4 linked regions of the Anolis sagrei genome follow. The protein of the gene in region 1 interacts with the protein of each later gene in a pairwise test. Links are inferred from orthologs where the notes say so. Each region holds a gene or a part of one and is shown on either strand. Other genes may lie near its edges.

What was found.
Region 2: the proteins of KASH5 (region 1) and STX5 interact in binary tests that used the Homo sapiens proteins (3 or more experiments, as listed by UniProt). The two-hybrid records come from large-scale screens. The link is inferred for Anolis sagrei from reciprocal best matches to the Homo sapiens genes KASH5 and STX5.
Region 3: the proteins of KASH5 (region 1) and TRAF3IP3 interact in binary tests that used the Homo sapiens proteins (3 or more experiments, as listed by UniProt). The two-hybrid records come from large-scale screens. The link is inferred for Anolis sagrei from reciprocal best matches to the Homo sapiens genes KASH5 and TRAF3IP3.
Region 4: the proteins of KASH5 (region 1) and GALNT2 interact in binary tests that used the Homo sapiens proteins (3 or more experiments, as listed by UniProt). The two-hybrid records come from large-scale screens. The link is inferred for Anolis sagrei from reciprocal best matches to the Homo sapiens genes KASH5 and GALNT2.

The regions. Positions count from the first base shown.
Region 1 is NC_090026.1:22,017,428-22,024,990, reverse strand, and holds the start of KASH5 (protein KASH5), read left to right. Parts: upstream 1-4,561; coding exon 4,562-4,637; intron 4,638-6,343; coding exon 6,344-6,457; intron 6,458-7,563. UniProt on the Homo sapiens protein: As a component of the LINC (LInker of Nucleoskeleton and Cytoskeleton) complex, involved in the connection between the nuclear lamina and the cytoskeleton.
Region 2 is NC_090032.1:12,412,171-12,419,570, reverse strand, and holds the start of STX5 (syntaxin-5), read left to right. Parts: upstream 1-4,379; 5' UTR 4,380-4,513; intron 4,514-7,400. UniProt on the Homo sapiens protein: Mediates endoplasmic reticulum to Golgi transport.
Region 3 is NC_090024.1:198,918,972-198,925,972, reverse strand, and holds the start of TRAF3IP3 (TRAF3-interacting JNK-activating modulator), read left to right. Parts: upstream 1-3,984; 5' UTR 3,985-4,261; intron 4,262-4,979; 5' UTR 4,980-5,161; intron 5,162-7,001. UniProt on the Homo sapiens protein: Adapter protein that plays essential roles in both innate and adaptive immunity. Plays a crucial role in the regulation of thymocyte development.
Region 4 is NC_090021.1:61,526,345-61,533,547, reverse strand, and holds the start of GALNT2 (polypeptide N-acetylgalactosaminyltransferase 2), read right to left. Parts: upstream 3,013-7,203; 5' UTR 2,924-3,012; coding exon 2,813-2,923; intron 1-2,812. UniProt on the Homo sapiens protein: Catalyzes the initial reaction in O-linked oligosaccharide biosynthesis, the transfer of an N-acetyl-D-galactosamine residue to a serine or threonine residue on the protein receptor.

The sequences.
Region 1 (7,563 bases):
CTAATGTGGAGATAGAGGTGGATCCTTGGGTTGCTATAAGTTTTCCGGGCTGTATGTCCATGTTCTAGAAGCATTCTCTCCTGACGTTTCACCCACATCTATGGCAGGCATCCTTGGAGGTTGTGAGGTTTGTTGGAAACTAGACAAGTGGGGTTTATATATATCTGTGGAATAATGTCCAGGGTGGGAGAAAGAACTCTTGCCTGGGTTGTTGTAGGTTTTTCCGGGTTATATGGCCATGTTCTAGAGCAGGGGTCCTCAAACTACGGCCCGGGGGCCGAATGCGGCCCTCCAAGGTCATTTACCCGACCCTCGCTCAGGGTCAACCTAAGTCTGAAATGACTTGAAAGCACACAACAACATCAACAATCCTATCTCATCAGCCAAAAAGCAGGCCCACACCTCCCATTGAAATACTAATAATGTTATATTTGTTGAAATTGTTCTTCATTTTAATTATTGTATTGTTTTTAAGTGTCTTTTGCACTACAAATAAGATATGTGCAGTGTGCATAGGAATTCATTCATGTTTTTTTCAAATTATAGTCCGGCCCTCCAACAGTTTGAGGGACTGTGACTTGGCCCTCTGCTTAAAAAGTTTGAGGACACCTGTTCTAGAGGCATTTTCTCCTGATGTTTCGCCTGCATCTATGGCAAGCATCCTCAGAAGTAGTGAAGCTTAGCCCACTACCTCTGAGAATGCTTGCCATAGATGCAGGCGAAACGTCAGGAGAAAATGCCTGTAGAAAATGCTGGCCATATAACCTGGAAAAACCTACAACAACCCAGTGATCCCAGCCATGAAAGCCTTCGACAATACATTGAACTCTTGTCTGTTTGAGGCAAGTGTGAATATTGCAACTGGCCACCTTGATTAGCACTGAATGGCCTTGCAGCTTCAAAGCCTGGCTGCTTTCTGACTGAGGAAATCTTTTGTTGGGATGTGTTACGTGTCTGGAATTTCCCTGTTTTTTGAACATTGCTCTTTATTTACTGTCCTCATTTTAGATATTTTTAAATACTGGTAGCCATATTTTGTCCATTTTCATAGTTGTGGATCATGTTTCACAGACTCTTTTCCAATAAAAACTTGTGCTAATTTTGAAAAAAAAGGTATAATGTAGATGTAGCATGACCAAGAAGAAAGGGAGCAGAAATATGGTATTTAAAGGCATAAACCAGGCAAAAAGACTAGGGGGAGATTGCCATGGATAGCCTTGCATAATAATAATAATAATAATAATAATAATAATAATAATAATAATAATAATATATTTATACCCCCGCTACCATCTCCCCAAGGGACTCGGTGCGGCTTACATGAGGCCAAGCCCACAGTACATCAGCAAACAAAGGCAATAACAAAAACAATCAATACAAAACAGTTAATATAAATTACATAAACAAAAAATTAGGCAGCAAAATGTCTAGATGATGGAGAAAACATTATGAGAGCTTATGCATAGGGATCTTGTAGCATTTAGAGACTGGGGCCCTTTCCAATATGACTTGGCCACGGTAGTACACGCTTTGGTTACATCCTGCTTAGATTACTGCAACGCTCTCTACGTGGGGTTGCCTCTGAAGACTGCCCGGAAGCTGCAGCAAGTACAATGCGCAGCAGCCAGATTACTAACGGGTGCGGGGTACAGGGAGCACACCACTCCGCTGTTACTCGAACTCCACTGGCTGCCGATTAGCTTCCGAGCACAATTCAAAGTGCTGGTGTTAACCTATAAAGCCCTAAACGACTCCGGCCCTGTTTACCTCTCTGAACGTATTCTCCCCTACGAACCATCAAGACCACTAAGATCATCCGGAGGGGCTCTGCTCTCGGTCCCTCCGCCTGCACAAGCACGGCTGGTGGCGACGAGGGACAGGGCCTTCTCGGTGGTGGCCCCTTGACTTTGGAACTCCCTGCCATTAGAGATCAGAACTGCCCCCTCCCTCATGACATTCAAGAAACTAACAAAGACCTGGTTGTGGAACACGGCATTTGACAACTGATTTAATTCTTTGCCCACATGAAAGGAGGATGATGAATGGGATTGTGATGGTGTCAGACGATTTGGCTCTTTTAACTGGGATGATAATGTTTTAATGTGTATGGTGCTGATATTTTAATCATGTAATTAAGTGGCATTGTGTTGTTATTGTATATTTTTTGTATGTTAACACATGTTGTGAACCGGTCCGAATCCCTCTTTGAAGGTGAGAGGGTCGGTATATAAAAACTCGAAATAAATAAATAATAAATTCTATACTGCCATATAACCTACATATAATCTATATAATCTGTTTGAACTTGATTATATGAGTCTACACTGCCATATAATCCCGTTCAAAACAGATAATCTGGTTTTTACATGGCAGTGTAGAAGGGGCCTTATTCTTCCCGCCCTTTTAGGAGTGTCTCCTTCTTCCCTCAGCAAGGCCCTCTCAGTTTAGTCAGGGAAGGAGGCATTTTCACTCTGAATTCCCCTCAAAAGGTGGAAGGGCTTTTCAGTCCACTTTGCTTTTGGTCGAAGAGGCTGTTTTGTTTGTTTGTTTAATGGCTGAGGAGATTTCAGTGAGGGAAGAAATAATTTTCAGGGGTTGCCTTTGAAATATAGCTTGGCCTCCCCTCAGTTGCGCAAGGAGTAACAAGATGGCTCCTTGAAGAAGGTTGAAAGGCATGGGGAAGGGGCCCATTTTAATGGGAACTCTGCCTTCGTCAGGCACGGGCAAACTTCGGCCTTCCTCCAGGTGTTTTGGACTTCAACTCCCACAATACCTAACAGCCGGTAGGCTGTTAGGTATTGTGGGAGTTGAAGTCCAAAACACCTGGAGGAAGGCCAAAGTTTGCCCATGCCTGTTTCAAACACTCTCTGAAGTGACTATATCACAGGCAGGCATAATTGAGGTTTTTGAAGCCTTTATCTGGCAATATGTCATGCTGGCCACCTGACCTTGGAGGTGTCTATGGACAACGCGGGCTCTTCGGCTTAGAAATGGAGATGAGCACCACACCCCAGAGTCAGACATGACTGGACTTAATGTCAGGGGACAACCTTTACCTATGTCATTTATTTTGAGGGGAAGTGAAATGCTGAAAAGGGGATTGAAGTCTTCTTTTTTTAAAAATCTATTTTATTAAGGTTAGAAAGGGAGGGAAAGTAGAGGGATATTTTTTTTTCTATGCATGTAAAGTGGAGGAATAATAATGCTATAGGAAAGTAGGGCAAAAAAGAGAAAGAAGGAGAAAAAAATCATATAATAATAATAATAATAATAAAATAATAGTAATAAAAAAACTATCGAAAAATTCAACCAACAGCAGAATTTTTTTTAAAAAATTGATTGTTGACTTAGTCTTTTGAGGGTTCATCTTTCTCTTTAATTATATACTTTCCGTTAAGGGTACAGTTTAGTAACGATGTATTGTTGAAGGCTTTCATGGCCGGAATCACTGGGTTGTTGTAGGTTTTTTCGGGCTATATGGCCATGGTCTAGAGGCATTCTCTCCTGACGTTTTGCCTGCATCTGTGGCAAGCATCCTCACTACCTCTGGAAGAGACCTCGTGGGCCATCCAGTCCAACCTCTTGCCAAGAAGCAGGAAAATTGCATTCAAAGCACCTCCGACAGATGGCCATCCAGCCTCTGTTTGTAGTTTATTCGTTCAGTCGCTTCTGACTCTTTGTGACCTAATGGACCAGCCCACACCAGAGCTCCTTGTTGACTGTCACTACCCCCATCTCTTTCAGAGTCAAGCCAGTCACTTGACTCTGTTTAAAAGCCTCCAAAGAAGGAGCCTCCACCACACTCCGGGGGCAGAGAGTTCCACTTCTGAACAGCTCTCACAGTCAGGAAGTTCTTCCTAATGTTCAGGTGGAATCTCCTTTCCTGTAGTTTGAAGCCATTGTTCTGCATCCTAGTCTCCAGGGCAGCAGAAAACAAGCTTTCTCCCTCCTCCCTATGACTTCCCCTCACATATTTATACATGGCCATCATGTCTCCTCTCAGCCTTCCCATCTGCAGGCTAATCATGCCCAGTTCTTTAAGCCGTTCCTCATAGGGCTTATACTCAACATTCTGATCCTTTTAGTTGCCTTCCTCTGGACACATTCCAGCTTGTCAACATCTCCCTTCAATTGTGGTGCCCAGAATTGGACACAGTATTCCAGGTGTGGTCTGACCAAGGCAAAATAGAGGGGTAGCAAGACTTCCCTAGATCTAGGCACTATACTCCTATTTATGCAGGCCAAAATCTCATTGGTTTGCATAAATAAGAGTATAGTGTTTCAATCCAGGGACAGCTTTAAGCAATTTAGTGTACAGATTTTTGAACTGATGGCATTGTCATACCTATATTTTTGAGGTAATTCAACCAGGTGTTTTATTACGGTACTTTCAAAACCTGGCAAACAATTCTCCCGAAAAGTCTCTTGTTTTGTGAAGGCTGGAACCAAGTTCCTGGTTTGCTGGCTGCGCTTAAATAAAACACATTCTTTCTTTTTTTGAAGGAAAAGAATATTTCTGTGGAATAAATAAAGCTCTGACTGAAAAGGCACTTATCTGGTGATGGAGGATATTATTTACCACAAGTCTTTTGAAAATGCAGCAGTAGCACAGTTAACTGCAGTCTTATCAACAGAAGGTAAATATTAGTTGTTCCTGAAAAATTCAATCTTGTAATTGTTTATTATTTTATTGGTGTTGGATCTTAGAACCATCCTGTCATCCACGTTAATTTGAAAAAAAGTAATTCCTATTTAACAGTACAGTTTTGGTTTCAAAGCTATGGGCTGCTGTTGTTTCCTAATTTTGATGTTTGTGCCACTTACCCTAAACGACATTAACTCAGGCCATTCATAGTGACTCCAGTAAAAATGGATGCAAGTCTGAACCACATTTCTCAAATCAATGTTTAGATTATCTAAATATTGTTTTTCCCCCTATATGTTCCAAGCGTACCTGATTTCTAGAGCTACAGAGAGATCATGGCACAGTAGACTGGCATGCAACACACTTACTCTCCCTTGTTTTGACCCAAAATCCCAAATGATTATTTTACAAACTTGGGCTAGTATGCAAAGTGCTTTATTACCAATGTGTGTGTGTGTATAAGAGGGAGCGAGCGCTTAGGTTGACATATAAATGAATAACAAATACATAGATTGTGGGCCTTTGTGGGCTGGTCAATGAAAAACCTTGGGGCTGAGTGTTCTTTCCAGTTCTTGTCCAACTCTAGATAAAGCTTGCTTTTTATTGTTGTAATATCTCTTTTTTATTTATCGTATCAGAAGCAAATGAAGGGTATAGTTGTAATGTATTTAAAACCACAAAGTTTAAAAATTTGCCATTCTATTAAATGTCCTTTGACCAGTAGCTGGCCACTTGGAGTGCCTCTGGAGTTACTATAAGAAGGTCCTCCATTGTGTATGTTGCAAGGCTCAGGCTGCATTGTAATGGGTGTTCTGTGGTTTGCCCTTCTCCACACTCACATGTGGTGGACTCCACTTTGTGGCCCCATTTCTTAAGGTTGGCTCTGCATCTCGTGGTGCCAGAGCGCAGTCTGTTAAGAATCTTCCAAGTCGCCTAGTCTTCTGTGTGCCGGGAGGAGTCTCATTCGGTATCAGCCATGGCTTGAGGTTCCAGGTTTTTGCCTGCCACTTGCCTGCCACTGTAATATCTCTAATATGAATACAAATGCTTTCTCTAGTTTCAGTCATTCTCCATTTTAGTTCAGTTCTGTGCCACAAAATAGGCGACACCTGTGTGGCAGTCATTGGTCTGATGTCACTGATCTACTTTACTATGATTTCCAATTTAGTTTGTAACTCAATCCCTAGTAGAAATTATTGTAATGTTGCATTGGTGCAGTTCTTCATCTAGTTCTGTGGAGTGTGAGTCATGCAAATTGTACATCAAATACTTTTCAGTTGGATGCTTTATCCGCTCTTCACATTTGGTTTTATGACAAATTAGGGTATTCTGAGAGAGAGAGAAAAATAGAGTTACTGTACATGCTGCTTCATACATACTCATCTGGCTTTTAAGCCATTAAGTTGCTCAGCAATTTTTGTTTGAATGAAGAAACCCTATTTGAGATGCAAGCACTTTGAGTAGATATGAGACATACCATTTCAGTAAAAAGAATGGACAGTGGGGAATTATGAATGGGAGAGATGAAGAAAAGGCCTAATATTGGATTTTGAGTACAGAGAAATGGGCTGTAATGTGGACAAATGGCAAGTCATTATGTCTTTTTAGTCAAGTGAGCTTATTTTAGATCTTTGTGGGTATAATGGTTTGCAGATTATCCAGGCTTAGAGGAAAAAAACTAATTTATGTGTTTCTTAGCAGTACCATGGGACAACTCTGGTGTTAGCAACAAAAACATCCTGAATGCAGACCACTGCTCTGAAGAAAATGTTCTGAAATGCACATTCAAGGCCTGTGATTCTGAACAAACAGGTACAAACCATTTCAGTAGTAGCTGGAAACAGTCAGCAAATCCAATGTTACTTTACTGGGGAAAAATTGTAGGAGAAAGACGTGTCTTTTCTCAATTTTTTATTGTTTTTATTGACTTGGAATTACAAACAAAATACAGCAATTGCCATACATAATGGAAATTACCAAGCAAGAGGATATTCAACCTAGTTACTTCAAAATAGGATTGACTCTCTGTTCTCTTTTTATTGCAAGGGAATTCCTCTTTCAGTCTCAGGACCCTATCACACTTTAACTGCCATGGTAATATCATATACGATCCTGGGTTTTCCACTTTAGGTAGGAGCATTTAGAATTCTCCGACAAAAAAACTCTTGGCCCTCATTAAACTACAAGCCACAGAATATTTTAATGGCAGGTAAAGTGGAATAATAATGCTAATAGTGTGATGTGATAGGGCTCCAAGTAGAATGTTTCTTTTTGGTTAACAGCTTGTTTTGGAATGTGTCTCCCTGACTGGAATGAGGAAACCTTTTGTTGCTTACCTGTTGTATGCTTTATGGAGGGAAAAGTGTGGCTTCAAGGAGCAGCACTACTCTTGCCTAGTTTATTTATTTATTTAAAACATTTATATTCCACCCTTCTCACCCCAAAGGGAACTCAGGGCGGAGCACAGCATATATACGGCAAACATTCAAGAATTCATATACGCATGCATAAACATTAAAAACATTTATCGCAAGATTAAAATACACCATTTAAAACCGTCTTGGTCATCTGTGTCAAATCTAATTGGCCTGGTAATCTTTCCTATTGCTGCTTCTAGTGAGGAAGTAAAATGTGTCATCCAAGAAACCTCTTTGTCAAAAAGGGATTGGGAAGCAGCTCTTCTAAAAGGAAGAATTTGAAATGACATAGATGGATTTTAATTGAAGTATACACAGAAAAAAGTAATAATCAGGATAAAACTGGGAGGACATGGGACACAATGTATTGCTTTTAAAAAAGACATTTAAGAACAGACTTCTGTTTCCTATCTCCAGTCCTTCAGGTTTCAGATTGTTCAGCAGCCTTTTTTTTCTTGAAACAAAGAACTAGAATCTTGTTTTAAAAGATAAATTATCATC
Region 2 (7,400 bases), on another chromosome or scaffold:
CCATGCTCTTTTTACATCCCACTTAGATTACTGCAATGCACTCTATGTGGGGTTGCCTTTAAAGACGCCCTGGAAGCTTCAGCTAGTCCAACGGGCAGGGGTCAGACTTCTAACGGGAGCGGTGTACAGGGAACATACAACTCCTCAGCAGTCAGCTCCACTGGCTGCTGATATGCTACAGAGCCCAATTTAAAGTGCTGGTCTTGGCCTATAAAGCCCTAAACGGTTCTGGTTCAACTTATCTGTCCAAATGCTTCTCCTCTTATGAGCGTATTAGAATTTTAAGATCTTCTGCTCTCGGTCCCACCTTCTTTGCAATCACGACTGGTGGGGACGAGAGACAGGCCTTCTCCATGGTGGCCCCTCGGCTGTGTAACTCTCTCCCCAGCAACATCAGACATGTCCCATCCCTTCTGGGTTTTAGGAAAAAGCTGAAGAGTTGGCTGTGCGCACAACCATTCAAAGAATACGTTTCTATGGTTTTGACATGATCTGGATTAAGGATTATGAGCAGGGTTATGGAACTATGCACTTTATGTGCTTTTTAAATTTGTAAATTGATACATTTTATTGTTGCTTACTGTTTAATGTTTATTGATATATTTTATTATTGCTAACTGTTTAATTTTTATTGTTAGTACTGTTTTTTACCGACAGTGAATTTTGCTGGAATTGTAAGCTGCCTGGAGTCCCTTCGGATGAGAAAGGCGGGGTAGAAATAAAGCAAATAAATGAATGAATGAATGAATAGTGGCTCTTTATTTACATTTCATTAATTGCAGTAACACTTACTCGTTAGCACAGTCAGATGCAAGGGAGAAGAGCAGAGAAATAATAAAATGGTGTCTGCTCTATTTATACACTGCTATCAGCTCATTAATTCAGTGTCCAGCCTCCTAGTCTATTATGAAGCTTGTCTGTCCCACACATGCTTCATAACTTAACTCTCACAGCTAGCAGCATGGACATTTTAAACTTGTACAATATATAGACATTACACTGATACGATCTTCTCGCGGTCCAAGGCACTCTCAGAATTTTTCTCGAACACCACAGCTCAAAAAGCATCTCTCTTCCTTTGCTCAGCCTTCCTTACAGTCCAGCTCTTGCATCCATAGCTTACTATGGGGAATATCATTGCTTTAACTAGGCAGATCTTTGTTGCCCGTGTGATGTCTCAACTCTTCACTATTTCATCGAGATTGGTCCTTGCTCTCCTCCCAAGAAGGAAACGTCTTCTGATTTCCTGTCTGCAGTCCACATCTGCAGTCATCTTCATATCTACACATACAAAGTCTGTCACTGCCTCTATGTTTTCTCCCTCTATTTGCCAGTTATCCATCAGTCCGGTTGCCATCATCTTGGTTTTTTTTATGTTTAACTGCAACCCAGCATTTGCACTTTCTTCTTTCACCTTGGTTATAAGGCTCCTCAGCTGCTTCTTGCTTTCAGCCATCAAAGTGGTATCATCTGCATATCTAAGGTTATCAATGTTTCTTCCAGCCATTTTAACTCCAGCCTGGGTTCGTCAAGTCCCACACGTCGCATGATGTGTTCTGCATACAAGTTGAATAGGGAGGGTGAGAGTAGACAGCCCTGCCGTACGCCTTTCCCAATCTTGAACCAATCTGTTGTTCTGTGTTCTGTTCTTACTGTTGCTACTTGGTCCTTATACAGATTCCTCAGGAGAGAGACAAGGTGACTTGGTATGCCCAGACCACCAAGAACTTGCCACAATTTATTATGATCCACACAGTTAAAGACTTTAGAATCATCAGTAAAACAGAAATAGATGTTTATCTCAAACTCCCTGCCTTCCTCCATTATCCAGTGGATATTGGCAATTTGGTCTCTCGTACATAGAATCATAGAATCAAAGAGTTGGAAGAGACCTCATGGGCCATCCAGTCCAACCCCCTGCCAAGAAGCAGGAATATTGCATTCAAATCACCCCTGACAAATGGCCATCCAGCCTCTGCTTAAAAGCTTCCAAAGAAGGAGCCTCCACCACACTCCGGGGCAGAGAGTTCCACTGCTGAACGGCTCTCCCAGTCAGGAAGTTCTTCCTAATGTTCAGATGGAATCTCCTCTCTTGTAGTTTGAAGCCATTGTTCCGCGTCCTAGTCTCCAAGGAAGCAGAAAACAAACTTGCTCCCTCCTCTCTGTGGCTTCCTTTCACATATTTATACATGGCTATCATATCTCCTCTCAGCCTTCTCTTCTTCAGGCTAAACATGCCCAGTTCCCTAAGCCGCTCCTCATAGGGCTTGTTCTCCAGACCCTTGATCATTTTAGTCGCCCTCCTCTGGACACATTCCAGCTTGTCAATATCTCTCTTGAATTGTGGTGCCCAGAATTGGACACAATATTCCAGATGTGGTCTAACCAAAGCAGAATAGAGGGGTAGCATTACTTCCTTAGATCTAGACACTATGCTCCTATTGATGCAGGCCAAAATCCCATTGGCGTTTTTTGCCGCCACATCACATTGTTGGGTCATGTTTAACTTGTTGTCCACGAGGACTCCAAGATCTTTTTCACACGTACTGCTCTCGAGCCAGGCGTCCCCCATTCTGTATCTTTGCATTTCATTTTTTTTGCCAAAGTGGAGTATCTTGCATTTGTCACTGTTGAACTTCAACAGTTTTGAACTTAGTTTTGGCCCATCTCTCTAATCTGTCAAGATCGTTTTGAATTCTGCTCCTGTCCTCTGGACTATTGGTTATCCCTCCCAATTTGGTGTCGTCTGCAAACTTGATGATCATGCCTTCTAGCCCTTCATCTAAGTCATTAATAAAGATGTTGAACAGGACCGGGCCCAGGACGGAACCCTGCGGCACTCCACTTGTCACTTCTTTCCAGATGAAGAGGAAGCATTAGTGAGCACTCTCTGTGTTCGTCCACTTAACCAATTACAGATCCACCTCACCGTAGTTTTGCCTAGCCCACATTGGACTAGTTTCCTTGCCAGAAGGTCATGAGGGACCTTGTCGAAGGCCGTACTGAAATCCAGGTACGCTACATCCACGGCATTCCCCGCATCTACCCAGCTTGTAGCTCTATCGAAGAAAGAGATCAGATTGACTAATGGCAAGATCAGATTACATCTGGCAACTCCCTCTCCATGTATTGCTGGAGTCTACCTTGCAGAATCTTGAGCATTACCTTACTGGCATGTGAAATAAACGCCACTGTACAAAAGTTTGAGCATCTTATAGCGTTTCCCTTTTTTGGTATGGGGATATAAGTTGATTTTTCCAATCTGATGGCCATTCTTGTGTTTTCCATATTTGCTGGCATATGGCATGAATCACCTTGGACCTTGATAACTACAGACTAGTGTCCAACGTTTCTTTTTTGGGCAAGGTGATTGAGAAGGCAGTTGCCTTCCAACTCCAGGCGGTCTTGGATGCTACACACTTCCTCGACTCATTTCAAACCAGCTTCAGAGCAGGATACAGAGTTGAGACTGCTATTGTTGTACTGGATCTCCATCTCAACACCAACGGGAGTGTGTCCCTGTTGGTGCTTCTAGACTGCTCAGCGGCCTTCAGTACCGTGGTATTGGGGAAACCTTTCTGGAATGCCTATGGGGAAGGCTGGGAATTGGAGACATTGGTTCTGGATTCTGGATGGTGGCACTTGGGAATAGCTGCTCCTTGAAAAGGGAGCTGTTACGTGGTGTCCCACAAGGTGCCATTCTATCCTCATAGCAGCCACTGGGAGGGATCTGTAGGTATGGATGCAGTGTTACAGGTATGCTGATTACACCCAAATATTTCTTCATGCCTTCTAAATCAGCTTCAGCTAAGGATAGCATGTTTCCTTTGAAAGAATGCCTGGATGGATCTGGACCAAACTCGGCACGATTACTCAATATGCCCAGATGCGAACACTGGTGGAGTTTGGGGAAAGTAGCATCTTGACATTTGGGAGTTGTAGTTGCTGGGATTTATAGTTCACCTACAATCACAGAGCATTCTGAATTCTACCAACAATAGAATTGGGCCAAACCTCCCACACAGAACCCTCATGATCACCAGACTGGGCCACAGCAACGCCTGGCAGGAGACGGCTAGTGGATAATAAAATGGTGATGATGGGGTCTCTGTAGATTTTTAATCTGAAGCTGTCAGGGGGGCTCTGGCGGTGTCTTCCTGCCTGGCGCACTGAGGCCTTCCGCCTGAGTTTGAGGCTCGATTCCAGAAACCCTTGGCAACCGGAAATCTCTTCCCAAGCGAGGCTTGTTTACATCCCCCCGCAGGATCCTTCCCTTCCGCTTCCTCCTTGTTGCCAGGCAACTTCCTCCCGTTTTTTGGGTCTAATGAGGCGAGTGGCGTGACGTATGCAGTGGGGCGGGGACTCTCGACGTCGTGCGTGTGACGCGGCAGCCTGAGGGAGTACGTGGCAGTGACGTCCGCTTGTTTGGCCTTTCGGTTCCGGGGGAAGGCGGCCGGTGTCGGAGGCTCGGGAGTCCGGCGGCGTCTCGGTGGGATTTGGGCCTGTGGGGCCGGTGAGTCGCGGGCGGGAGGGAGGGAGAGCGGGGAGGCGCTTCTCGGCGAGGCCTCTCCTTGCGAGGTAGGCCTCTCTCTCTGGAGGCCGCTTTCCCCTACGGATGGTGCCCCACAGATGGGTTCCTAGAGTGGGAAGGGGCCCCCAAAGCCACCTAGCCCGAGCCCCTTCTGCCAGGCAAGAAGGCACCTTCAAAGCCTCCTGACAGATGGCCCTCCAATCCAGCCTCTGTTCCAAAAAATCCAGAAAAGGGGGAGCTGAACGTGTGGGGCCAAAAATCACAGAACCCTAGAATCTGAAGGCAGCCCAGAGGCCATGAAAGCCAACCCTCTTCTCCCCATTCAATCCCTCCTGACACAGAACCACATGGTGTCACAGAATCCTAGAATTGGACGGGATCCCAACCTGCTTCTGCCAGGCATCACCATCCAAGCCCTCCCAACAGACTGTTTAAAAATTCCAAAGGAAAGAAGGGGACAGAGAAAGAGTTAAACATGTACTGACATTGTGCTTAAAATTGTAGAATATTGGGAGTTGTATTTATTTATTTATTTATTTACTTTATTTGTATACCACTCTTCTCAGCCCTTGGGCGACTCAGAGCGGTTTACAACAGTTTAGGTATACAGGATACAAAATCTTTATGCATTTAAAATACAGAAGCATCACAAGTCATTAACATCATTAACATAGGCATCAAAACATCAATACATCAATATAACAAATCCATCTGGTCTAGTCGGTGAAATCAGAATCCAAAACCCATTGTCCGTTATTCCATGTTCCAATAATCAGTTAATCAATCACACTGCTTAGTCAAATGCCTGTTCAAACATCCAGGTCTTTACTTTCCAACAAGGAATGCCAGCAAGGAAGGGGCCAATCTAATACCTGCAGGAAGGGCGTTCCACAGCCGAGTGGGCCACCACGGAGAAGGCCCTGTCTCTCGTCCCCGCCAGGCGTGCTTGTGAGGCCGGCGGGATCGAGAGCAGGGCCTCCCCAGACGATCTTAATGTCCTAACTGGTTCATAGGAGGAGATGCGTTCGGACAGGTAGGTCGGGCCAGAACCGTTTAGGGCTTTAAAGGCTAAAGCCAGCACTTTGAATTGTGCCCGGTAGCAAATTGGCAGCCAGTGGAGCTTGCGCAACAGAGGAGTGGTATGCTCCTGTTAGCAACCTGGCTGCTGATCGTTGGACCATTTGAAGCTTCCGAGCAGTCTTCAGAAGCAACCCCACGTAGAGAGCGTTGTAAGGGAATCCAGGGGCTATCTAATCCCACCCTTTTCTGCCAGGCTTCTCTGGCAGAAGGGTTATCTGTCAGGAGGGATTTAATGGTGTCTACACTATCAGATGCTTCCTAATAGATAACCATTCAACCTCATAGGCCTAGAGGTTGAAGGGACCTCAAGGGCCATCCAGGCAGGGGTGTCCAGTCAAAGCCCTCCAACAGATGACCAAAATTTATTTATTTATTTATTATTTGAACATATGCCGCCACTCCCCTGGGGCTCGGAGCGGCTTACAAGAATAGCTAAAATCTAACAAAATTTAAAAGCAATTTAAAAACAATTTAAAAACAACAATATCAAACATTAAAAGCCTGTCGAAACAGGTATGTCTTACATGCCCTGCGGAAAGCTGGTAAGTCCCGCAAGGCACGGACTTCAGGTGGCAGAGTATTCCAGAGTGATGGGGCCACTGCTGTGAAGGCTCTGCGTCTGGTTGCTGTTAGACGCAAGGTCTTGACACTGGGAATTTCCAATAGATCTTGGTCCTCAGAACGGAGGGATCTCTGGGGTTGGTAGGGGGTGAGGCGGTCCCTCAGATACATCGGCCCCAGACCATGCAAGGCCTTAAAGGTGAGTACCATCACTTTGAAAGTGATCCGGTGCTCAATTGGTAACCAATGCAGCTGCAGTAAGATTGGTGTTATGTGACATCTCATCGGAATTCCCGCAAGAAGCCGAGCAGCTGCATTTTGTACCAACTTGAGTTTCCGGATCACCGACAGAGGAAGACCAATGTAGAGGGTGTTACAGTAGTCCAGTCTTGAGATGACAGTGGCCTGGATCACCATAGCTAGGTCGTCCCTGGACAGGGAGGGGGCCAGCCGTCTAGCCTGCCGCAGGTGAAAGAAGGCGGTTCTGCTAACAGCAGAGACCTGGGCCTCCATCGTCAGCAGACGGTCCAAAAGGACTCCCAGTCTCTTGACCAATGATGACGGGTGTTGCGCCTCGCCATCCAGGGGCTTTTATATCTTGTCCTTTCTCAACCTCTGCAGAGGGACTCAGGATGGTTAACAAAGTGGCACCCCATGGTGCCCACATCAAAACATAAATATACAATTAACAGTAATGTAATAATAACAATATAAAACCGTATAAACAATATAAAAACAATATGAAAAGAGACAACAAATACTCAGCAGTCACTGATTTAAATCATTATCCAAGGGCAGTCCATCGGTTCTAAATCAGTCAACACATCAGTAGGTCAGCGTATTCTCCAAAGGCCCATAGCCAGGATTTTACTTGTTTCCGGAAGATCAAGAGGGATGCAACAGATCTAATTTCATTTGGGAGGGAGTTCCACAGCCAGGGGGGCACCACAGAAAACGCCCTGTCCCTTGTCCCCGCCAGACGCGATTGTGACAATGGGGGGACAATGAGCAGGGTCTCCCCAGATGATCTTAGGGCCCGAGGTGGATCATAGTGGGAGATACGTTCGGACAGGTAAACTGGGCCATCCAGCATTTGCTTAAAAACCTCCGGTAAAGGTGATTCTAAGGCAGCACATTGCACTGTGAAATGGCTCTTACCACCAGGAAGTTCTTCCTAATGGACATGGATTTTTCCTCTGCAGTTTCAACCCATTGCTCCATTGTGTCC
Region 3 (7,001 bases), on another chromosome or scaffold:
TGGTTACATCCCGTTTAGACTATTGTAACGCTCTCTACGTGGGGTTGCCTTTGAAGACAGCTCGGAAGCTCCAACTAGTCCAACGCTCAGCAGCCATGATTTTAACAGGAGCGGAGCGCAGGGAGCATACAACCCCCCTGTTGTGCCAACTCCACTGGCTACCGATCTGCTACCAGGCTCAATTCAAAGTGCTGGTGTTGGCCTTTAAAGCCCTAAACGGTTCCGGCCCAAGCTACCTATCCGACCGCATCTCTGCCTATGAACCTACCAGGACTTTGAGATCTTCCGGGGAGGCCCTGCTCTCGATCCCACCTGCTTCTCAAGCACGGCTGGCGGGGACGAGAGATAGGGCCTTCTCGGTGGTGGCTCCTTGGCTGTGGAACGCCCTTCCTACGGACATTAGACTAGCACCATCTCTAATGGTATTCCGCAAAAAAGTGAAGACCTGGCTGTTTGAGCAGGCGTTCGAATAATTAGTGCAATGATTGGTTAATGAACACTGGAATGGAACAATGGATGACGAATCTGGAACATGTTTTTGATGACGAGATGACAGTGAATGGGTATGTAGTAACTGTTTATTAATTGTGTAATGTGTTAGGTTGTTAACTGTTTTTATAGTGTAGCACTGAATTTTTGCTGTTCGTATTTGTTGTGAACCGCTGTGAGTCGCCTTCGGGCTGAGAACAGGGGTATATAAGTAAGGTAAATAAATAATAAATAAATAAAACAAAGACCACAGGGGTGCTAACCCTTCCCTATGCTCTCCAAAGCTTAAAAATGTATGTGTTTGGCTTGTTTCACTTTAAAAAGTACCTCTTCCGACTTACATGCAAATACAACTTAAGGACAAACCTACAAAACCTATCCTGTGCATAACTTGGGAACTGCATTTACAGATTGAACATACCTTATCTGAAATGCTTGGGTACAAAACGTTTTGGATTTTGAATTTATTTAGATTTTGAAAATCCTGTATTTGCATATGTGTATATGATTAGATACCTTATGTTTCATATACACCCTGATACACATAGTCTGAAGCTAATTTTATATTTTTAAATAATTTTGTTCATGAAACAAATTTTGTCTACACTGAACAAAGATTTCAGATTTCAGAATGCTGGATAAAGGATGCTTTATTTATATATCTATGCACTGGACTCAGCTGAAGTCTGGTGCACACACATATAATTATATATAATACATCCCTTATTATAATGAGTTTCTAGTTAAAGATCACTGAAACTAACATTTTCAACTTTCTATTTGAAAGTATAAATCAAAACTCAAATATGAGTCAGCTATAATGAAATGGGTTTTAAATATTTTTATTTTAAATGTATTTTAGCAGATTTTTTTTGTATTTTATGATGTTTTTAGTTGTTATTTTGTTATTAAGTTTATTAGGTTGTGTTATATTGTCAAATGCGTTTATTTTGATGTAATTGTCTGTATGGTTTCTTTCATCATCATCATCATCATCATTTAATAACTTATTAATCGCCCTCCATCCGAGAATGCTCTAGGCGATTTACAGCTAAATTATAAAAGATAAAATACATGCATACAAAAATTAAAAATTAACAGAGATCGAATGCTCTAGTAAAAAGCCAGGTCTTAAGTGCGAGAGTAAAAGGCCCTAAGTCACGCATGGCTCTCTCATGTAGGGCAGCAAGGAATTCCACAAGGCAGGGGCAGAAACAGAAAAAGCCCTGCGTCTGGTCCTTTCCAAGTGCACTTCTCTAGGACGCGGTATATGGAGTAAGTCACGTTGGGCTGGTCGTTGCGTCCTCCGATGATGGGAGAAGGAGAGGCGGTCCCTAAGGTACGATGGACCCTGGCCGTAAAGAGTTTTAAAGGTCAGAACTAGCATCATATACAGGCCACGGTACTCAGTTGGAAGCCAATGTAAATGTTGCAGCACTGGTGTTATATGGCATTTCATGGGCGTTCTTGTGAGTAACCTTGCTGCCGCATTCTGAACAATACGAAGCTTTCGGGTCGTAGACATCGGAAGGCCCACATACAGGGCGTTGCAATAGTCCAGCCTAGACGTGACTGTAGCATGGATGACAGTTGTCAGAGCCTCGTCAGCTAGGTAGGGTGCCAGTTGCCTCGCTTGTCGTAGATGGAAAAAGGCCTGTTTGCTGGCAGCAGCGACCTGAGCTTCCATTGTCAGCTGTGAATCCAGGATGACACCTAAGCTCTTAACAGTGGTCGATGGAGATAGGGCGGCACCATCGAAGGTGGGTAATGGAGGAGTCAGGCCTGCCGGGCGGCCATGCCAGAGAATCTCAGTCTTCGCTGGGTTCACCTTCGGCAATTGCATGTTTGCCTTACACGACAGAAACTCCCCCGAGTCTCTTTGGAGAGATAGAAAGGCACACAAATAACATTTATTATTATTATTTAAAAAGTGAAGTCCTCACAAAATTTTAAAAATAACTTGTATGATAAGATTCATTGTTGTCTCAAATTGTAATCATATTAATTCAAATATGTTAAAATAAGCAATTGCTGTGATAAAAAACAATGCTTCCAAAGAAGAAAAATGTAGTAGTGGAAAGAAAAAAAGGAAAATACAGGCCACAGGTTATTTATGGGCCCTGCTTCCCCTTTTGTAATGTGTGAACATGAGGGCTCTCACATTTTAGACAGGGTGCATTCAGCAGACAGATACAAATAGTGATACATTTTACCAATCTGTGTAATTTCCTCGATACCATTAATAATTTTAGCAAGAGTATGACATATTTACACAACACTCTATAATGTTCAGAGCACACACATTATTGCTATCACATGGTGTATAGCACTATCTACACGGGGTAGGCCAATTTTTATTATTCTATGCCTTTAGGTCTCTCCTAATTTCTGGTGAGCCCTTATTGCTGTTGCTAACTGTCACCAAATGGACTTCCATGTATGGTGACTATGAATGAGAGACTGCCAAGTCATTCTATCATCAATTGACCTGCTCTAGTCTTGCAGACTCAGCCTTGTGGAGTATACCTTTGGGTTTTCTTGGTAAGATTAATTCAGAGCAGGCTAAGAAATTGTGATTTGCCCAAGGTTATACAATGGGAATCCATATCTGACTAAAAATTTGAACCTTCATCGTCCTGGTTTAAACCACTTCACCACACTGGCTCTTAATGTAGATGTAGAGGAGACAAAGGCAGGACTGGGACATACTTGTGTAAGAATACCTAATGAATTTTAGGGTGCATCTGGGATCATAGAATCATAGCATTGGAAAAGACCACATGGGCCATATAGTCCAATTCCCTGCCAGGCAGTGAAAGCAACAGATGGCCACCCAGTCTCTATTTAAAAGCCTCCAAGGAAGGAGCTTCCAAAATACCAAGAGGCAGAGAGCTTCACTGTTGAACAGCACTCACAGTCAGGAATTATTCCTAATGTTCAAGTGGAATCTCCTTTCCTATAATCGACACTGTCAAATTAATGCAGTTTGATCCATTTTGATTGCTATGGCCCAGTGTTGTGGATTTATGGGAGTTGTAGATTTTGCTTTCTCTGTCAAAGAGTTCTGGTGCCTCACCAAACTGCAGATCCCAAGATTCCATAGCACTGAGCCATGGCAGTCAAAGTTAAGTCAAACTGCATTAATTTGGCAGTGTAGGTGCACCTTAGATGCCACACTCATTAAAGACATCAAACTTCAAAGCTGGCAAAGTTACAACTGTTTACATGCATGCATGCTACAATGTTCAAAAATGAATACAAGTTATTTTCTACTCAAGGCAGAAAGTTCTTCTTCCCATAAGTATCACACTTCAATATGGTCCCAGTGTGCCAACCACAATTTCACGGCGTGATACTGAGGTTCAAGGTGCCAGGGCTGATAACGTGAAGCCTGCAAAGAGATATTTCTGGAGTCTCAGTGATAACGGTGGACATGTCGACCACTCGACTACAGCGGGTTCGAGTGACCACAACATTAACCTGCTTACAAAGTTCTGGGTTTCCTGTCACTCCCTTGTCATATCAGAGCATGACAGAATGAAAGGGGGAAGAGAGGAACTAACCAAGCTGAAGTGTTGCAGCTCAGAGCATTTCCTGTTCTTTAGTGAGGGGCGGGGGGAATAACCCAAAGCAGCAAAGTGAATCCGTCCGAATGAAGATGTTACAGCATGTTAGTACTTGATAACTAAACAGGCATCTTTTCATTTGTGCTTCAGCAACAGCAGAGCTGAACTTCTGAGAGCTCACCCAGACCTGCCACGGAAAAGGCAAGGTAAGAACTTCAATTGTTAGTAGCAGCCTTCCATTTTAATTCTCAGTCTACAGGAAGCAAACACAGCCTTAAAAAGGAACCTTTTCTCCAAGCCATTATCCATATTGACAATGTGGTGCTGGAAGATGAACGGGAAATATTTCCACCGCTTAAACTGGGCAGCACAACAGTGCCGAATGATTAATGGCATTTGCATTTATCCGAGACACATATATTGGCCCAAGAGAGAAGGAAACCCCATAATATAATAATAAGGCCTCATCACTTTGCCCAAATGTGCTCATTAAATTGAGCAAATATTTCTCATTTTTCTTGCTCGAGATGAGTTTCAGATATTTCAAGCAGCTGCTTAATACAGAAACTCTGAAAGGAATACTGCTGGCTTAATAGAAAGCTGGTGGCTTGTCTGTGAAAAAAGTGCTTATGGGTTTATTTATTTATTATTTAAAACATTTATATTTTGCCCCTCACACCCCGAAGGGGACTCAGGGCAGAGCACAACATATATACGGCAAACATTCAATGCTGGAACATAAAATAAATTATAAATATATATAAACACTAAAATCAATTATCTCCACTTTAAAATAAATTGTTTTAAACCATCTCGGATCAGCCATACCGGATCCGATCAGCAGGGTAAAGTTTCCTATTGTTACCTTATTGTACTGTCCCAAAGGCTTGGTCCCACAGTCAAGTTTTTATCATCTTTCTGAAGGACAGGAGGAAGGAGACTGATCTAACCAGTGAGGAAGTTCGCTAGCAGAGGGGCAATCACTGAGAAGGCCCTCTCTCTCATCCCCACCAATAGAGCCTGTGACGGTGGTGAGACCAAGAGCATTGGGTCCTGGAAGATCTTAATCTCTGCAGTGGTTCATAGAGAGAGATGCAGTTGGACAGGTAAACTGGGCTGGGGCCGTTTATGGCTTTATAGGCCAAAGCCAGCACTTTGAATTGTGCTCGGTAGCAACCAGTGGAGCTGATACAACATGGGAGTTGTGTGCTCCCTGTATGCCATCCCAGTTATTAACCTGGCTGCCTCTTGTTGGACTATTGGAAGCTTCTGAACAGTCTTCAAAGACAACCCCACATATAGTGTGTTGCAGTAGTCTATCCTAGACGTCACGAGAGCATGGACCATAATAATGTTATGTTATTAGTAAGCAAGTAATTCAGATGCCAAGGACAGTGGGAGAAGAGACTACAACCACCTCTGCATAATCATTACTTAGTATTAAACATTGGTTGTTTTTCTATTATAAAAATATAGTTTTTTCAACATTAAGGAAAAAGCAATAGCCTTTCAGCAACTACTCAAGCAAAACTCTGGAGTGGGTAATATGACTGAGATATATATGACCTACACAGTCAGGGTAGTAATTTTAATTGTTCTGTAGCAACCAAATACATATGATACACAACCTGACTGATTTGTTCAGTTAATAACTACTGACATTTTCATAACACATAGTAATGGGGTCACTTGCCATAACTGGAGGAGGAAAAAGGTGGGTTCCAGTGTGATTAAGCTCCATCTGGCACGTATATTAAAATGCATGGGAGGAAGCAATTGCACAGGGATTCCCTTAAAACACAAAAGCAAATAAATAAAATAATTAAATAATTAAATAAATAAATAAATAGGTACCACAAATATTCAATTACAATACAAAACCAGATATATAGTATAGGACATCTTAAAGGTTGGTAATTAAAGATGGGACACTGGTAGAGAGTATGTATGCTTATCTCCTCCAACTTTTCTGTAAGATTGGTAGGAAACTTCCAACTCTAACTTCAAGTTGAAATCACCTCTTACTGGGCAATATTTCACTTTGGTCTGTTCTATGAATGGAGTAGAACACAGAAGTAAGCAATGTGCTGATCTCCAAATGTTGTTGGGCTGCAATTCCTGGAAGCTTCTACTCACCATTGCCAATGATGAGAAATATTTGGAATTGCAGCTCAGTTCAACAATTTTGGAGAACCAATCCTTCCACACAACCTGTTTCAGAATCCTCAATTTGTAGAGTGGGATGTACCATTTCAGGCTGTGCAATGGGGTTGTTTTTTTTTATGAGTCTTCTCAATTAACCCCTTTTATGCAAATGTATGAACAAACTACTTTGTCAGTGAGAAAGGCCCAATCCATTGCTTGTAGTTCCAGTTCTGATTTACAGAAAATCAGAGTGTTGTTTTTCCTAAAAGCATAAGAGGACATTCACCTCTAGTGTGAAATGGTACATTCCACCTCAACATCACAGAGTCAACCATTGCTATTTTGCTATAAAGGGTTCTTGCTTGGCCGTGAAAAGTCAGAGGATGCTGGCTTCATTTGGCAGAACTTCAGCACCCTGAGCTGTGAGTTTTAATCTAGAGTAAAGAAGGGAAGAAATTATTCTGAACTTGTTTGGAATTAGTTTAGAAATCGGTCTAAATTGCAAATTATTTTGCTTAAGAGTCTCTAAGGGCAGCATTGCAGGGATGCTAAATTGAAATGTAGGAACAGGACTCAGTCCATAGTTGGGAGAGGGAAGTTCTGCCAGAATCCTCCAATGGGATTTTTCAATATATTTCTCCACCCCATAGATTCAAACTAGACAAATTGTAGTTAGTTTTTTTTTTTTTAAAAAAAGGATTTTATAGTAAACACATTAAAATGGAAATCCAGATTGGATGCAAAACTGTTCATGTCTGTAGTTATGAACCCATTATAAAATTGGAAAGTATATTTACAAAA
Region 4 (7,203 bases), on another chromosome or scaffold:
CCTACATGCAGGGATGGAGTAAGGAACACCTAAGGAGGAGGTGAGCACAGAATATGGCAAGATATGAACCTTGGCACCATGCTTCGAAGGGAAGGAGAACTCTAATGATGGGTTTCTGTGAGTTTTCCGGACTGTATAGCCATGTTCCGGAAGCATTCTCTCCTGGCATTTCATCGACATCTATGCCAGGCATTCTCAAAGGTTGAGGGATCTGTTGGAAACTAGGCAAGTGGGGTTTATATATCTGTAAAATGTCCAGGGTGGGGGGAAAAACTCTGGTCTGATTGAGGCAGGTGTGAATGTTGCAATTTGGCCATCTTGATTAGCATTTAATGGCCTTGCAGTTTCAAAGCCTGGCTGGTTGCTGCCTGGGGAATCCTTTGTTGGGAGATGTTAGCTGGCCCTCATTGATTCTTGTCTGGAGTTCCCCTACTTTTTGCAACATTCACACCTGCCTCAAAAAGACAAGAATTCTTTTCTCCACGCTGGACATTCTACAGATATGTAAACCACACTTGCCTAGTTTCTAAAAGACCCCTCCACCTCTGAGGATGCCTGCCATAGATGTGGGCAAAACATCAGGAGAGAATGCTTCTGGAACATGGCCATCAAACCTGGAAAACTCCCAGCAACCCAGTGATTCCAGCCATGAAAGCCTTCGACAAGGAATCATAAATCTTGGCAAGTCATAGAAGAGACTACCTGGGCCAACCAGTCCAACCCCATTCTGCCACACAATGAAAGCTCTCTGAAGAGAGGGTCATCCGGCTTAAAAAAAAAAAACCTCTAGAGGAGGAGCTTCTATCACACTACGGAGCTTCTATCACACGAGGAAGTTCTTCCAAAGGGTTAGGTAAAATATGTTTCCCTGCCTTTTAACTCCTCCACATTGTCCAGAGCAGGCATGAGCAAACTTGGGCCCTCCCTTAAGCGGCTGAGGAGAGAAAGGAAGGGGCCTGAGGCTGTTAGGAATGGTGGGAGCTGAAGTCCAAAACGCCTGGAGGGAGGGCCCAAGTTTGCCCAGGAGTGATCCAGAGGCAGCAGAGCACAAGCCGGCCCCTTCCTCACAGAGACCTCCTTTCGGGTATTTCAAACATGGAAGCAGTACGCAGCACTTCCTCCCCGCGAGGGAGGGAGGGAGAGAGGAAGACCTGGTTCGCCCAAGGCGAAGAAGGCGCAACAGCCTGGCTGGGTTTCAGCCGGGAAGGAGCTCCTCGTGGCGCCCATTTCCTCAATACACACGCATACACATTCACGGGGACCCTGTTCCCACCGAAGAAGAAGCAGTCACGAGGCGCCCCAGTTTCCCCAAAGAGGACATCCCCTCACGCCTCCGACAGGAAGGAAGGGGGGGGGGGAGACAGCATGGAAGGAGGAAAGGGAAGAGGAAGCAGCGAGGAGACTGAAGGAACCGAGGAAGGAAGGAAGAGAGGGAAAGGGAAGGGAGTCCTCCATGGAAGGAGAAAGGAGTGAATCTGACTTAAGGAAAGAGCCTCGGCAGGAAGGAAAGGAGGATGGGAGGGAGAGGCAGCATGGAGGGAGGAAAGGGAAAAGGGAAGAGGAAGCAGCGAGGAGACTGAAGGAACCGAGGAAGAGAGGGAGGGAGGAAGAGAGGGAAAGGAGGAAAGGGAAGGGAGTCCTCCATGGAAGGAGAAAGGCGAAAGGAGTGAGTCTGACTTAAGGAAAGAGCCTACGAAGGTAGGAAGAGGCAGCATGGAGGGAGGAAAGGGAAGAGGAAGCAGCAAGGAGACTGAAGGAACCAAGGAAGAGAGGAAAAGGAGGAAAGGGAGTCATCCATGGAAGGAGAAAGGCGAAGGAGTGAGGAGTCTGAGGTAAAGGAAAGAGCCTCGGCAGGAAGGAAGGAAAGCCGGAAGGAAGAAGGGAGGCAGCATGGAGGGAGGAAAGGGCAAAGGAAGCAGCCAGCAGACTGAAGGAACTGAGGAAGGAAGGGGTGAGGAGCCTGAGGTAAACGAAAGAGCCTCGAAAGGAAGGATAACAGGAAGGAAGGAGGCAACATAGAAGAAGGAAAGAGAAAAGGAAGCAGCGGGGAGCCTGAAGGAGCCAAGGAAGGAAGTGAGGAAAGGGAGTCTTCCATGGAAGGAGAAAGAGGAAGGAGCGAGGAGCCTGAGGTAAACGAAAGAGCCTCGGAAGGAAGGAATGCAAAAAGGAAGGAAGGAAGGAAGGAAGGAGGCAGCATGGAAGGAAGGGAAGAGGAAGCAGCGAGGAGACTGAGGAAGCCAAGGAAGAGAGGAAGGAAAGAAGAAAAGGGAAGGAAATCCTCCATGAAAGGCGAAAGAGGAAGAGGCAAGGAGCCTGAGAGCCTCGGCAGGAAGGAAGGGGGGAAAGGACGGAAGGAAGGAGGCAGCATGGAAGGAGAAAAGAAATAAGAGAGGAAAAGGAGGAAAGGGAAGGAAATCCTCCATGAAAGGCGAAAGAGGCGAGGAGCCTGAGGTACTTGAAAGAGCCTTGGCAGGAAGGAAGGAAGGAAAAAAGGAAGGAGGCAGGATGGAAAGAGGAAATGGAAGAAGCAGCAGCGAGGAGACTGAGGAAGCCGAGGAAGGAAGGAAAGAAGAGAGAGAGGAAGGAAGGAAGGAAGAGAGGAAAGGGAAGGGAGTCCTCCATGACAGGAGAAAGGCGAAGGAGGGAGAGGGAGAGGAATGGGCGAGGAGCCTGAGGGAAAAGAAGGAGCCTCGGCAGGAAGGAAGGCAGGCAGGCAGGCAAACGGGGGAGCCGTGAGGAGAAGGTCCAGCGAGGCTTCTCCCCGGCTGAGGGCGAAGGGAAGCCGCGCCCCCCCCCCCCTCCTGCTCCTCACCTTCCTTCCTCCGCCGGCGAGGGCGGCGCTGCCCCCGGAGTACATGTAGTAGGCGATGCCGAGCACCCAGAGGAAGGCGAAGCAGAGCAGCAGCCGAGACTTGCGCCGCATCCTCCCGCCCGCCCAGTGCTGCAGCCGCGGCACCAGCCGCCGCCAGGCCAGCAGGAAAGGGGCGGCAGGCGATGCCGCTGCCGCCTCCACCGCCCGCCCTCCTGCCCGCCTTCCTCCTCCCCCTCCGCCGCCGCCGCACAAGGGTCAAGGGGCAGAGGGCGCGCGCCCACCCTCTGGCCAATCGCCGGCCGCCAAGCGCCGCGCGGGGCGGAGCTCAGCCGCGCCGTCGCCATGGTTGCAGCACGCGGGGCCTCCTGGGGTCCCTCTTCCTTTCATGCCTCTCGGTCCTTTAGCGCCGCTTCAACCACAGCTAGGCCTCTTCCGAGAGCTGGGAGCCCGGGTGGCAGCCGAGGCCGGCGCCCTGCCTTCCAGCCTCAGGGGACTTCCAGCCTCAGGGGCCTACCTTCCCAGGCTTCCCGTCCCATAGAACCCTCTCCGCGGGACATGAGATGTCGTTCCCGTACGAGCCTGGCCTTCCCCCGGGGAGAAGCTCCGCAGAAGGGACTTGCCTCGAAGTAAAGGCGTGTGGAGCGGGAGGTTGGAAGGCCTCTCCTTTCTTCATGCCAGGCGTGGGAAAGGTATGTCTCACTGGAGGAGGAAGAGCTGGCGTTCAGGCTGCACTTTCGGCAGCTCTAGTCCTGTAGAGTTTTGTTTTTTGATGTATTTCATTATTAGAGTGGATTTCAAAAGACTTTTACATACCTCAGTCAGCAAGTGGAGTGGTGATAAAATAGGAAATAATAATAATAATAATAATAATAATAACAAACATTTGATTTTGCAGTAACTTATTTAAGCATAGTTATTATCAAACATCTCACTTCTGCCCTCATCACACTAGAGAAAAAATCAACTTAAAATCCAGTTTCTACCTCCTGCAGAATTCTGGGGTTTGTAGTTTAATAGTTTAAGGAGCTGGGCATGTTTTGCCTGCAGAAGAGAAGGCTGAGAAAAGATATTATAGCCATGTATAAATATGTGAGAGGAAGCCACAGGGAGGAGGGAGCAAGCTTGTTTTCTGCTTCCTTGGAGACTAGGATGCGGAACAATGGCTTCAAACTACAAGAGAGGAGATTCCATCTGAACATGAGGAAGAACTTCCTGACTGTGAGAGCTGTTCAGCAGTGGAACTCTCTGCCCCGGAGTGTGGCGGAGGCTCCTTCTTTCCAGGCGTTTAAAGGGAGGCTGGATGGCCATCTGTCGGGTGCTTTGAATGCAATGTTCCTCCTTCTTGGCTGAGAGAAGATATTATAGTTGGACTGGATGGCCCATGAGGTCTCTTCCAACTCTTTGATTCTATGATTCTATGAGTCGCCTTCGGGCTGAGAGTGGCGGTTAACAAATGCAAATAATAATAATAATAAAATAATGCTGTTAAAGGCTCCTCTCTAAACTACAAACGCCAGAATTCTGCAGGAGGTAGAAACTGGATTTGAAGTGGATTTTTTCTCTAGTGTGATATAGTGTTACCTACCTCACACACATACCTCACACACAGTCACCTACGGATGTGAGAGCTGGACCATAGGGAAGGCTGAGTGAAGGAAGATGCTTTTGAACTGTGGTGCTAGAGGAAAGTTCTGAGAGTGTCTTGGACAGCGAGAAGATCCAACCAGTCCATACTTCAAGAAATAAAGCCTGACTTCTCGTTGGAGGGAAGAATACTAGAGGCCGAGATGAAGTACTGTGGCCACATCATGAGAAGAAAGGAAAGCTTAGAAAAGACAATTATGCTGGGGAAAAGGAAGAGGGAGTGACCAAGGGCAAGATGGATGGATGGTATCCTTGAAGTGACTGGATTGACCTTGAAGGAGCTGGGGGTGGTGACGGCTGACAGGGAGCTCTAGCGTGGTCCATGAAGTCACGAAGTCAGAAACGAATGAACAACAACAACTTCACACACTGCAAAAGCAACAGGGATTCCTTCCCTTACGCCAGTGGTTCTCAACCTATGGGTCCCCAGATGTTTTGGCCTTCAACTCCCAGAAATCCTAACAGCTGGTAAACTGGCTGGGATTTCTAGGAGTTAGGTTCTTGTGGGTTTTTTCGGGCTATAGAGCCATGTTCTAGAGGCATTTCTCCTGACGTTTCGCCTGCATCTATGGCAAGCATCCTCAGAGGTTGTGAGGTCTGTTGGAAGTAGGAAAAATGGGTTTATATATCTGTGGAATGGCTGGGGTGGGGCAAGGAGCTCTTCCCTGCTGCAGTTAGGTGTGAATGTTTAGCTGATCACCTTCATTAGCATTTGAAGGCCTGCCTGAGCCTGGGAAAATCTGTTGCTGGGAGGTGTTAATCTGTGCCTGGTTTTTTCCTCTCTGTTGTTTAGCTGTTATAATTTTAGAGTTTTTTAATACTGGTAGCCAGATTTTGTTCATTTTCATGGTCTCTTCCTTTCTGTTGAAATTGTCCACATGCTTGTGGATTTCAATGGCTTCTCTGTGTAGTCTGACATGGTGGTTGTTGGTGTGGTCCAGCATTTCTGTGTTCTCAAATAATATGCTGTGTCCAGGCTGGTTCATCAGGTGCTCTGCTATGGCTGACTTCTCTGGTTGAAGGAGTCTGCAGTGCCTTTCATGTTCCTTGATGCGTGTCTGGGCGCTGCGTTTGGTGGTCCCTATGTAGACTTGTCCACAGCTGCATGGTATACGGTAGACTCCTGCAGAGGTGAGAGGATCCCTCTTGTCCTTTGCTGAACGTAGCATTTGTTGGATTTTCTTGGTGGGTTTGTAGATTGTTTGTATGTTGTGTTTCCTCATCAGCTTCCCTATGGAAGTTGGAACTTCCCTAGGAGTTGTAGGCCAAAACACCTGGGGACCCACAGATTGAGAACCACTGCCTTACACCATAAATAAATAATAGCTCTTCCCTCCAAAACAGCGAGTAAAGCTTAGAAAATGTTCTGGTTTTAAAAAAAATAATAATTACAATTTGCACAATCTAGCAACCAGCATGCTCAAATGACCACACTGGCTTTCCAAACTTGGTTGGACAGGTGGAATTTTTCAAAGCTTTGGCAGTGAATTAACATCATGAAAATGGTGTGTAGTATGATTTCTTAAAAGTTTTCTGGCATGATTTTCCCATATACACTTCTCTGCAAATCTGTGGGTATAAAAAGACTGTATAATAAAAGTAAAACTAGCTGGCCAAGTTTGGTCTACAAACCTCAATAGGCATATGTAGGCTAGTTATTTGATTTGCATTTTGTTGCTACTTTATGTCAATTCTGTATCTGTGTTTGATGCAAGTTTTTAAAAATATTTTTGTGTTTTAATCGAAGTATTTATTGTACATATTATATGTTCATATGTTTTTGACTTTGTTGTACTGTACCCTGCCTCAAACCATCAAGAGAAGCAGGTAATAAATAAAATTATTATTATTATTATTATGTCATTGCCCCGTGTTTCTGGTTTTTTAATTAACTTACATATCAATTTTAAACTACCAAGTATACACATTTACCCAAAAATTATAAAATAATAACAACAATAATGACACACACAACAATATAAACAAACCCCACCTTTCCCTACATCTATGTTCAACTAGATCAGTGGTTCCCAACCTGTTTTGACTTTATCCAGCCTTAGCCCAACAAAATCTCCCAAGGACTCTCCAACTGAAGATGTTTAATTCAACAAACCCAAGTTCACATAATGCTGGCATTTTCACCATACCTGTGCAAAATAACCCCATTGCCTTCCCAGTTTGCTGAGCTCCATGGAGTCTGGAGAACATTTCTTCCTTCTCTTGGATAATATTTTACAAAATGGCTCCTTAATTTTGTTGTCATGTTTAAGGTAACTCAGCATCCACATTTAATGCAGTTTAATAATTCTGAAATAAACAATAGACTTGGTCCTTTTTCATGTTTTAATCCACTCCTGTCTTGCACTCCAAAAAATAAACTAACAACACATATCCATTCCACACTATATATATTCACTCCCCCTCTCTCCCTATCTAATCTTTTCTTTTCTTTTTTTACCAGACACGACTTGAACAGGGACCACTTTGACCAGGGACTACACTCCAACATTTTGGAGTTTTTGATCAACTTTTCATTCAGTTTGGTTATTTGGGATGCTGATTCAGAAAATTGCATTGGATAGACCACATCAGCTCTAGTTTCTGATACAGAGCATATGCTGTCTAGTAGTCCCTATCTGCTCACCCACAGAAAACCCTATTTAATAATCTAGAGCTGATGTGGTAGTAGTAACCTTTTGTGGGTAGTCAGCCTCTCCTCCTGATATCCTTGTTTTCCAGTTTTCCAG